Linked DNA regions of Macaca mulatta. The protein of the gene in region 2 purifies or fractionates together with the protein of the main gene of each other region. This does not show direct contact. Links are inferred from orthologs where the notes say so. Each region holds a gene or a part of one and is shown on either strand. Other genes may lie near its edges.

Region 1 (4,356 bases), on a different chromosome or scaffold from region 2:
ACCCTTTAGGAAACCTTTTAGTGAACTGGGAAAATTTTCACAACATAAACTCTATGTTTATAGATATTATTACTCTGCTGTATAATATATACTGTGCGGAAAAAAAAAAGAAGAAAGAAAACACTAGCCTGGGCAACATGGTAAAACCCCATCTCTACAAAAAATACAAAAATTAGCTGGGTATGGTGGTGCCAGCCTGTGGTTCCAGCTACATGGGAGGCTGAGGTGAGAGGATTGCCTGGGCCTGGGAGGTCAAGGCTGCAGTTAGTTGTGACGTTGCCACTGTACTCCAGCCTGGGCAACAGGGTGAGACCCTGTCTCAAAAAAAAAAAAAAAAAACCAAAAAGTGTTTTATCAAAGGATGAAACTGAAATGCTATAGTGTATAGTGTGACCATAATTTCAGAAGAGAATCAGCATAATTTAAAAGGATAGCTAGCATACTATATGTTTTAATAATTCCAGTATTTTTGTTATTTGGGCTTAATTTAACTTCTTTTCCTCTTTTTGATTTTTGTATTCTAAGAGGGCACTTTTAATTTTCAAGTTGTGTTTGAAACTATAAAGAGTATGCTAATACAACTTAATATAAATATAAATAATATATAAGCGCTCTCTCTATATATATACATACATATAAACAGACCCAAGCATTAGACCACTGATGTTGTACTTTCAGGATTCACACGAATAAGTCTAGATGCATTCCTCAGATCTTGGAGTTGCTTGGCAGGTTTCCCCACACCTTCTTCAAACCTTTTCTCCACCACAGGGAGGACTGTTTCATATAAGAAGGATGCATTCTGTCTGATAAAAGCTTTCTTCTCTGGATCCTGCTCACATCGAAGACTATAATCCACATGCTGAACAGCAACCAAAATGATTTCCACCAGGCTCTCCAAAAGTACCATGTGCAGCTCTGGGAAATACAGCTTCAGAGCCTCTTCCAAGAAGCCCATGGTCTGTTTGGTGAAAGCAACCACTGTGTAACTTAGGTTCACCCAGCAGTCATGCCCTGTGTACTGCTCAAAGTTACTTACCCCACAGCTTTTCATCTCTTCTTTGAGCTTCCCCAGGGCTTCTGGCGTCATCAAGTTCATCCTTCTCCACATCTCTTCAGAGTTGCGATGTTTAGTGGCTTCAATGATGATTTCTTTGTAACTGTGCAAGGCCCCTTGGATGTCTTTCACCAGAAGGGCATGGATGATGAAGGTGAGGTCCAGTCCGATATCACCCAGTTGCTGGCAATGCTCCTTAGCCACTTTTACACACTCAGCTGCTGTTGAGAGGCTCTCCTTACTATCAAACACCTGCTTGCTGAAAGCATCCACGAACATGCCCATGGCTGATCTTGCCCAGACCACAAAGGCGGAGTAGCAGCCGCTGTCAGTGCCTGCAAAATCAATCTCAAATTCTCTTGCAGTCTCAAGAAGGCTGGTAAAGAAGACATGGCACAGCTTATGAATATAGAGTAAAGTGGCGCCTTCAATGCGAAGCTGACGAATTGCTGTATGAACAGCGGCTGCCCTGTTTCTCAAAAATAGCTCACAGGCCTTCGTGCACTGGCCCAGCCGGATCAGTTGCGAAACTGCTCTGCGAGTAGCCTTGGGACCACCTCTCAGGGAACGATCTGGGGAGAGTTCGAAAACCAGCACCTCAGTGAGCTGTCGAACTCGCTCCTCCACTTTGGCCCTTAGTTCTTTTACAGGAGGTGGGCTAGGCTTATCTTCCAGGTAATGGTTCAATTTATCCAGCAGGTCAACAGCCCCTTCAAAGTCCCTCTGCGCAATGCAGACATCCAGGTCTTCAGGTAACTCCTGGATCCATTCCATGGAGAGGTCCACGTTCTCTTCCTCTACCTCAGGAACAGCTGGCTCTTCTTCTTCGTCATCCTCAAATGGGTTAGTGGCCTTGGAAGTCACTTGGGGTGGCCCTCGAGGGGCCGCTGCCTCCTCCTGCTCCCTTCGCCTTTTCTCACTGAGGGCTCTCTTGGTCTCCTCCAGCACTTCCAGCCACTCTCGTTTTATTTTAGCATTTTCGGCCTGGAAAATACGGCTCTCGGGGAACATAAGCAGCTTGAACATGTCCTTCATGGGCGGGTTGTCCTTGACATTGACTACGGCCAAACCATCTAGGGAATAGAGAGCGTTGTAGCGATACATCCCCCGCCGCTGCGGCAGCCAGGTAGCCACCAACAAACAATCGTTCATGAGAAAGCCGTGCACCCGCTGCAGTTGGGCCATGTGGTCGGCATCGTATTCCACTAGGTCCCCGTTGTACACCAGGTACTGTCCCGGCGTCTCCAGCAAATGCCTGCAGCCTTCCACCTTCTCAAGCAGGGTGGTGAGAGTGCGCTGCTTTCCTTCCTCGCCTGGACCGGAGCCGTCGCGGGAGGCGCCACCGGGGGTGGAGAAAAAACCGGCCTGGCCTCGGAGGTGGTCTCGGCCCCCCGCCCCACCGACTCCCTCCTCCCCGCCAGACGCGGCAGCGGCTCCGGCGGCAGCTGCGGCAGGCAGCAACGTAAGCGGGATGCTCTCCAGGCTGCTCTTCTGCTCCGTCAGCAGGTGGCTGAGCTGGTACATCTCGCTCTCCAGGTAGGAGATCTCACGGGCCGTCTCTATGAACTGCCGGTAGTTCTGGTAGACGTTGCGCTTCAGGTTCTGCGCCGTCTCCTCCGCCAGCGCCTGGATGCGCTGCCGGTGCTCCTGGAGGTCCCGGTCCCCATCCGACTGCTGCGAGAGCTGCTTCACGTACAGCCGCGCCTCAAAACCCCCTGACTCCAGCTGCCGACGCAGGCGGCTCGCCCCACTGTCCGACATCGCCATCGCCATTTCCGTCCGGGTCTCACGCACTCACTGTCACTATCGGCGCCGCAGCCGCCGCGGCTGTCTACACCCACCCAAGACCCACCGAGCTCCTGGGCTGAGGAAGCAGGAATTGGAACAAGACGAGTGCGCCTGCGCCGGGTCTGAGCGTCAGACACTGCGCCTGCGCAAGGGGCCAGGCGCAGACATTGCGCCTGCGCAGGAATGCCATCAGTTAAGGCGCATGCGCCGGAGGAGCTAGTGCGGAAGTGAGTGGAGAGGCCGAGAGCAATTTGAGTACTGCGCATGAACCGAGCGTGACGTTGAGGTTTGAAATAACCGGCAAAGAGTAAAGGCTGGAACTAGCTTCCTGAAAGCTTCGTAGGGCCGGTGCCCTGTGAGCCCAGGTTCTGCGCCCACTAGGAGGTGTCGTGCTGACTGCTTGTTTTAAAGCCCTAGAATCTTGGCTTCGGCGTTTGGGGTAAGCGCCGTTCTCGTTCACGTTCTCTTTCTCAAGCGAGTTTCCGCGAACTCTCGCGGGATTGACTGGCCGTCTCGAGAGCCGGTATCTCCTAGGAGCTAGTCCTGGTCCTCCGCTAGGCGGCTTGGGGTCGCAGCCTAACTCGGAGCCAGCCTGACACCGGCGGATCCCGCCTGTGATCCTGGCAACGATGGACGATGACCTGATGTTGGCCCTGCGGCTTCAGGAGGAGTGGAACTTGCAGGAGGCGGAGCGCGATCAGGCCCAGGAGTCCCTGTCGCTAGTGGACGCGTCGTGGGAGTTGGTGGACCCCACACCGGACTTGCAGGCCCTGTTTGTTCAGTTTAACGACCAGTTCTTCTGGGGCCAGCTGGAGGCCGTCGAGGTGAAGTGGAGCGTGCGAATGACCCTGTGAGTTCCGAGCCCCGCTGGGGAAAGAGGCGGGACTGGCAGTTCTCCTGCAGCCCCCGGTCCTGGTCTTCTCTCCTTTCTCTGGTCCGACGGTCCCAGGGGGCATTAAATGAGGGGGGAGTCTGGTTTTGGACCTGGCAATTCCTGCCTTGGCGTATTTCTCTTTTTCTTACCTTTTCTCCCACTCGAAAAATAAGAAAGCTGTGTAGACCCCACCGCCACGGTTGGACTCAGGGCCCTAACGAGAAAAGAGATTTGTGTTTGAATCTCACTAAACTTGAAAATAACAAGTTCCTGATTTGCCTTATGATAGTGCTGTAGGACCCTGAAGGGAAAAGCAACCAAATCTGCCCCTAAGAAAGTGCTGAGGACGCAGAGTAACCTCCAAAGGATGTGCGTTCCCCTCCTCTCTTTCCCGTTAGGAACCCACTTTAGTGAGCTCGTGTGTTGCAGTGGGGATCTTCAGTGATGCTTTTAAAACGATTCTTTTTCTACATGCTAAATTTGAGAAATCCTTATTTGAAATAATAATCTACTCCTGCACGTGAATAGGGTGAAGTTTAAGATACAGTTGTATACCACCAGCATGCTTGTTTTTGAGTTGACAGAAAACAACCTACAAACAAATTAAGATATCATATTAAATTGTGTTTAAAGTACC
Region 2 (4,281 bases):
ACTTCAGACTCCTTCTTTCCAATTTTTTTTCCTGGATGCCATTACTGTTAACAGTTTTTGGGCACCGTTTCAGAAATATTCTACCTATGTAATATTATATATATATGTGTGTGTGTATATATATATCAAAGCATATATATGAGTATTTATTCTTTTAAAAAACAAATGAGGACAGAGTCTATATACTGTTTCATGCCTTGCTTTTTTCTGCTTAACAACTACAACTTGGAGACAGTTTCATGTATGACCATAGAGTCTTTTGTCTTTCTTTTTAATGACTGCATACTAGTCTGTAGTATGGTTGTAGCACAAGTTATTTAGCCTAAACTTCCAGTTTTTTTGTCTCATGACTTTTTTTGTCAGTGGAAACCCTCTTCTACTAGTCACTCTGGTACTAAACCTTGGAGTAATATCTAACCTTTTTGGTATCTAGTAAATCCTGTCAATTCTCCCTTTTTGATGTTTTTCCTATTTGCTCATTCTTTTTCATTCTCATTGCTGCTTCCCTGGTTTAGGCCTTATCATCTCCTATGGCGTTTCCTTATCTCCAAATTCTCTATCTCTGCACATCTTGCACACTTGCCCTTCACCAAATTTCCTAACGCCCACATTTTGATGTGTCACTCCTCTTAAAAACCTCTGTGTCTTCCCATTCGTTGTGTTATGTAACAACTCAAGCAATGATCAATAAATCTGATTTTTAAATTGTAACTGAGGAGTTCATGAAATGCAGATGCCTGGATCAGAATCTCCAGATGTATGACCGTTAGTCTGTATTAAAAAAAAAAAAAAAGTTTCCAGGTGCTTCTGTTGCAGTTGGTTGTTGGATCAGTGGAACCATTAGAACAAAGTCCACATTTCTCAGCCCAGTATTTAAGGCTCCTCGCAATTTCTCTCCAACATGCCTTTCCAGACCCATCCCTTACTACTACTTCTTTACACATCAGTGCAAATGAAATTCTTTTCGGCCGTCTGGATTCTCCTCACAACTTCCGGTTATGCCTTTTAACCTCCGAAACTCAGTCTCTTTATGAAACTTTGGCAACCAGAAGAGATCTCTGAACTCCATTCTCTGTACTGGCTCACAGTTCACGGTTTTGAATTCTCCAGCTCCCCGTGTCTCCCCCACTAGATTGTAAGGCTTCTGTCAGACATTAAGTTACTTTATTATTCGCACCTACAGAGTCTTTGCACTTTGTGACAAAGGTGGTAAACAAGAATTTGTAGGCTTAGTGCCACTGCCTGACTTGATCATCACTGTTTACGCAGTGTTGTTAACTGTTTTTAGCTTACAGTGGGCTTTCAACAAGTATTTGCGGATCCAATGTATGAATGCAATGTATGAATGCACGGAATCCAACCTAGCATTTCCCAGAGAACTACAAATCCCAGCGGACATTACGCAGAACGCCGACGGACGCGGTGACGCAAGGGGGCGTGCCGAGCCTGAGGGAGGGGTCGGCCTGCGGGTAGCCAGAGGCTGGGGCGGCTGTGGAGCCTGGGGTGGAAGAGGGAGTGTGGGGCAGCGAAAAGGTGAGCCGAGCTGACGGAGGGGACGCGCTGCGCGGCTCCCCCAGTCTATGGAGCGGGGTAAGATGGCGGAGGCGGAGAGCCTGGAGACAGCGGCAGAGCACGAGCGGATCCTGCGAGAGATCGAGAGCACTGACACGGCCTGCATCGGGCCCACGCTCAGGTACCCCGGGTGCCGGGGCCACCGAAGGGCGGGAACGGGCGGGACGGGGCAGGCTCCTCTGGGTCCGGGCTCCGGCCGGCTGTCTCCATGGCCGGCGCTGGCCTCTCCCTTGGGAGAGACCCTGCGTTCCGGGCGAGGCGGTCTCCCTTCGCAGCCCCGACGCGGGGTCCCTTCGCGGCGCCCCATAGCCCAGTGACTCAGGAGGCTCCCGCTGTCTCCCTCGGGGCTGGAGCAGCCTTCGTTCTCCCTCCGAGGCTAGTCTGGCGCTGGGGAACGAGCGGGCGCCCGACAGATGGTGGTGGCTCCCGTCAGATCTTCTCCCTGGGGACATCACCCTTCTCCCTCCGACTCCAACTCCGTCCTGCCCTAGACAGGAGTCCTGCTCTTCAGATAACACAGAATTTCACTCCATGATCTGGTGCTCGAAATCAAAGTCTTGCCTCAGAATCACAGCCACTTCTCAGAAACGAGTCCTTGGAAATCCTAGGCCTGGATGGAAGTTCCCCCAACCCGCGCCCCTCTCCTGGGAGCCGCTGCTCCTTTATCCCTGCTTCCTTATTACGAGGACGACCCTCGCCCACGGTGCAGCCTCCTCATCGCTGGGGAAAATTGACCCTGCTGCCGCCTCCAAGTTACCATTTCTTTTTTTTTTTGCACGCACATCTCCATTTTATTTGGAGATGTCAAAAGAAATCCCGACTTACCTCAACTTATTTAACAAATTTAGGTAGCACTTGTTACATAAAGTGCAAGACGTTGTAAACAGTGATTTTACAAATGCAACTTATTTAAGCCACAAAACAACCGTATTAGGTAGGTTCTATTACTCTCCTTTTACAGATGGGGCGCAGAGAGGTTAAGTGACTTGGCCAAGGTCACAGAGAAAATAAAGTAGGGGACTCAGATTGCTATTCGGGTAGCCTGGATCCAGACACTTAACCACTGTTCTGCCTCAGCTGGAGATTACCGGCTACCCGTACTTCCTGTTGATAATTACTCACTAAGCCTAGTTTTGAACTACTTTCCCCCTTCCCCTCATGTTACTGGTGTCCTAGAACGAACTCAGCCTTATCCCTTACTGTTATGCATTCTGATCTTCAGGCAGCCAATACATAGATAACTATCTTACCCTCCTTGCACAGTCTTGGGTCACTGCCCCTCCCATCAGAAAAGTTATTACTCATTGCTTGCGTTCTCCTGGCGTGAGTTGACTCAGGAAAGACTAATTGAAGGAGGGCAGGTTGGAAACTACTCCTCCTCTCCACCTGCACAGCTTCCTTCTCCAGGACACATTGTTAGCACATTTCTGCCAGTACCACCCCTGGTCATAACTATGGTAGTTTGCCTTTTGTCTCTTTATTTATTAAAAGTAATAGCAAAAACCGCAATTACTTTTGTACCAACCTAATATTCATTTATTGAGACAGGGTCTCCTTTTGTCTCCTAGGCTGCAGCGCAGTGAGGTGATTGTAGCTCACTGCAGCCTTGACTTCCAGAGTTCAGCTCCTCCCACCTAAGCCTCCTGAGTAGCTGGTCCTACAGCTGTGCACCACCACCACACCTGGCTACGTTTTAAACTTTTTGTGGAGATGGGATTTTGCCATGTTGCCTCGGCTGGTCTCAAACTCTTGGGGTCAAATGATCCTCCCACCCCAGCCTCCCAAAGTGTTGGGATTACAGGCATGAGCCACCGTGCCTGGCCCCTTTGTCCTTTAAAGTGACTTTTAGCTCCCTTTTTTGGACCAGTTCTTCCACACAGTTGCCTGTCTCTCCACCAACCCCCATTGCCTTATGATCAGGACCATTGTGCTTCTCTCAATTCTCATTTTCTTTAGCTCTTAAGGGTCAATGATCCTATACTTTCCTACATTTTCCTGTATACTTAAAATCATCTCTAGATTACTTAAAATACCTAATATAATGGTAAATACCATGTAAATATATGTTATACTGTATTGTTTAGGTAATAATGACAAGACAAATGTCTGTAGCATGTTTAGTACAGATGCAACCATCCTTTTTTTTTTTGAGACAGGGTCTCACTCTGTTGCTCAGGCTGGAGTGCAGTGGCACAATCACTGCAGTCACTGCTCACTGCAGCCTTGACCGCCTGGTGATTCTCCCCTCAGCCTCCTGAGTAGCTGGGACTACAGGCGTGTGCCACCATACCTGGCTAATTTTTAATATTTTATACAGAGGTGGGGTTTCACCGTGTTGCCCAGATTGGTCTTAAATTCCTGGGTTCAAGCAATCCACCTGCTTTAGCCTCCCAAAGTGTTGGGATTACAGGTGTGAGCCACTGCACCCGGCCACTGTCCCTTTATTTTTTCTCTTAAAACTTTGATTGAAGAGGTTGGTTGAACCTGCAGATACCGAGGGTCAACTGTATATACATTACGATTTAAATATAAGTTACCCAGTCTCCCTAAAACTTGTTTCATTGATATTATTGAGTTTTTTCCACTGAAAAGTGGGGTTTTGTGTAGGTAGATGGATTAAGAGATCTTTTGCCCTAAGGGGACACTGTAAAAAAAAAAGTTTGAGACTCAATACCAGTTTTACTTGCTTTTCTTGACTTCCTATATGAT

Evidence for each region.
Region 1: the proteins of EXOC6B (region 2) and EXOC8 purify together in Homo sapiens (affinity purification with mass spectrometry; 3 studies listed by BioGRID and IntAct, counting the BioPlex papers as one, with this or other methods). This does not show direct contact. The link is inferred for Macaca mulatta from reciprocal best matches to the Homo sapiens genes EXOC6B and EXOC8.

The regions. Positions count from the first base shown.
Region 1 is NC_133406.1:17,695,276-17,699,631, reverse strand, and holds EXOC8 (exocyst complex component 8), read right to left. Parts: upstream 2,921-4,356; 5' UTR 2,831-2,920; coding exon 653-2,830; 3' UTR 324-652; downstream 1-323. Other genes in the region: DNA-dependent metalloprotease SPRTN, read left to right, coding at 3,475-3,695. UniProt on the Homo sapiens protein: Component of the exocyst complex involved in the docking of exocytic vesicles with fusion sites on the plasma membrane.
Region 2 is NC_133418.1:51,918,141-51,922,421, forward strand, and holds the start of EXOC6B (exocyst complex component 6B), read left to right. Parts: upstream 1-1,457; 5' UTR 1,458-1,580; coding exon 1,581-1,693; intron 1,694-2,002; exon of another isoform or gene 2,003-3,196; intron 3,197-4,281. UniProt on the Homo sapiens protein: Component of the exocyst complex involved in the docking of exocytic vesicles with fusion sites on the plasma membrane.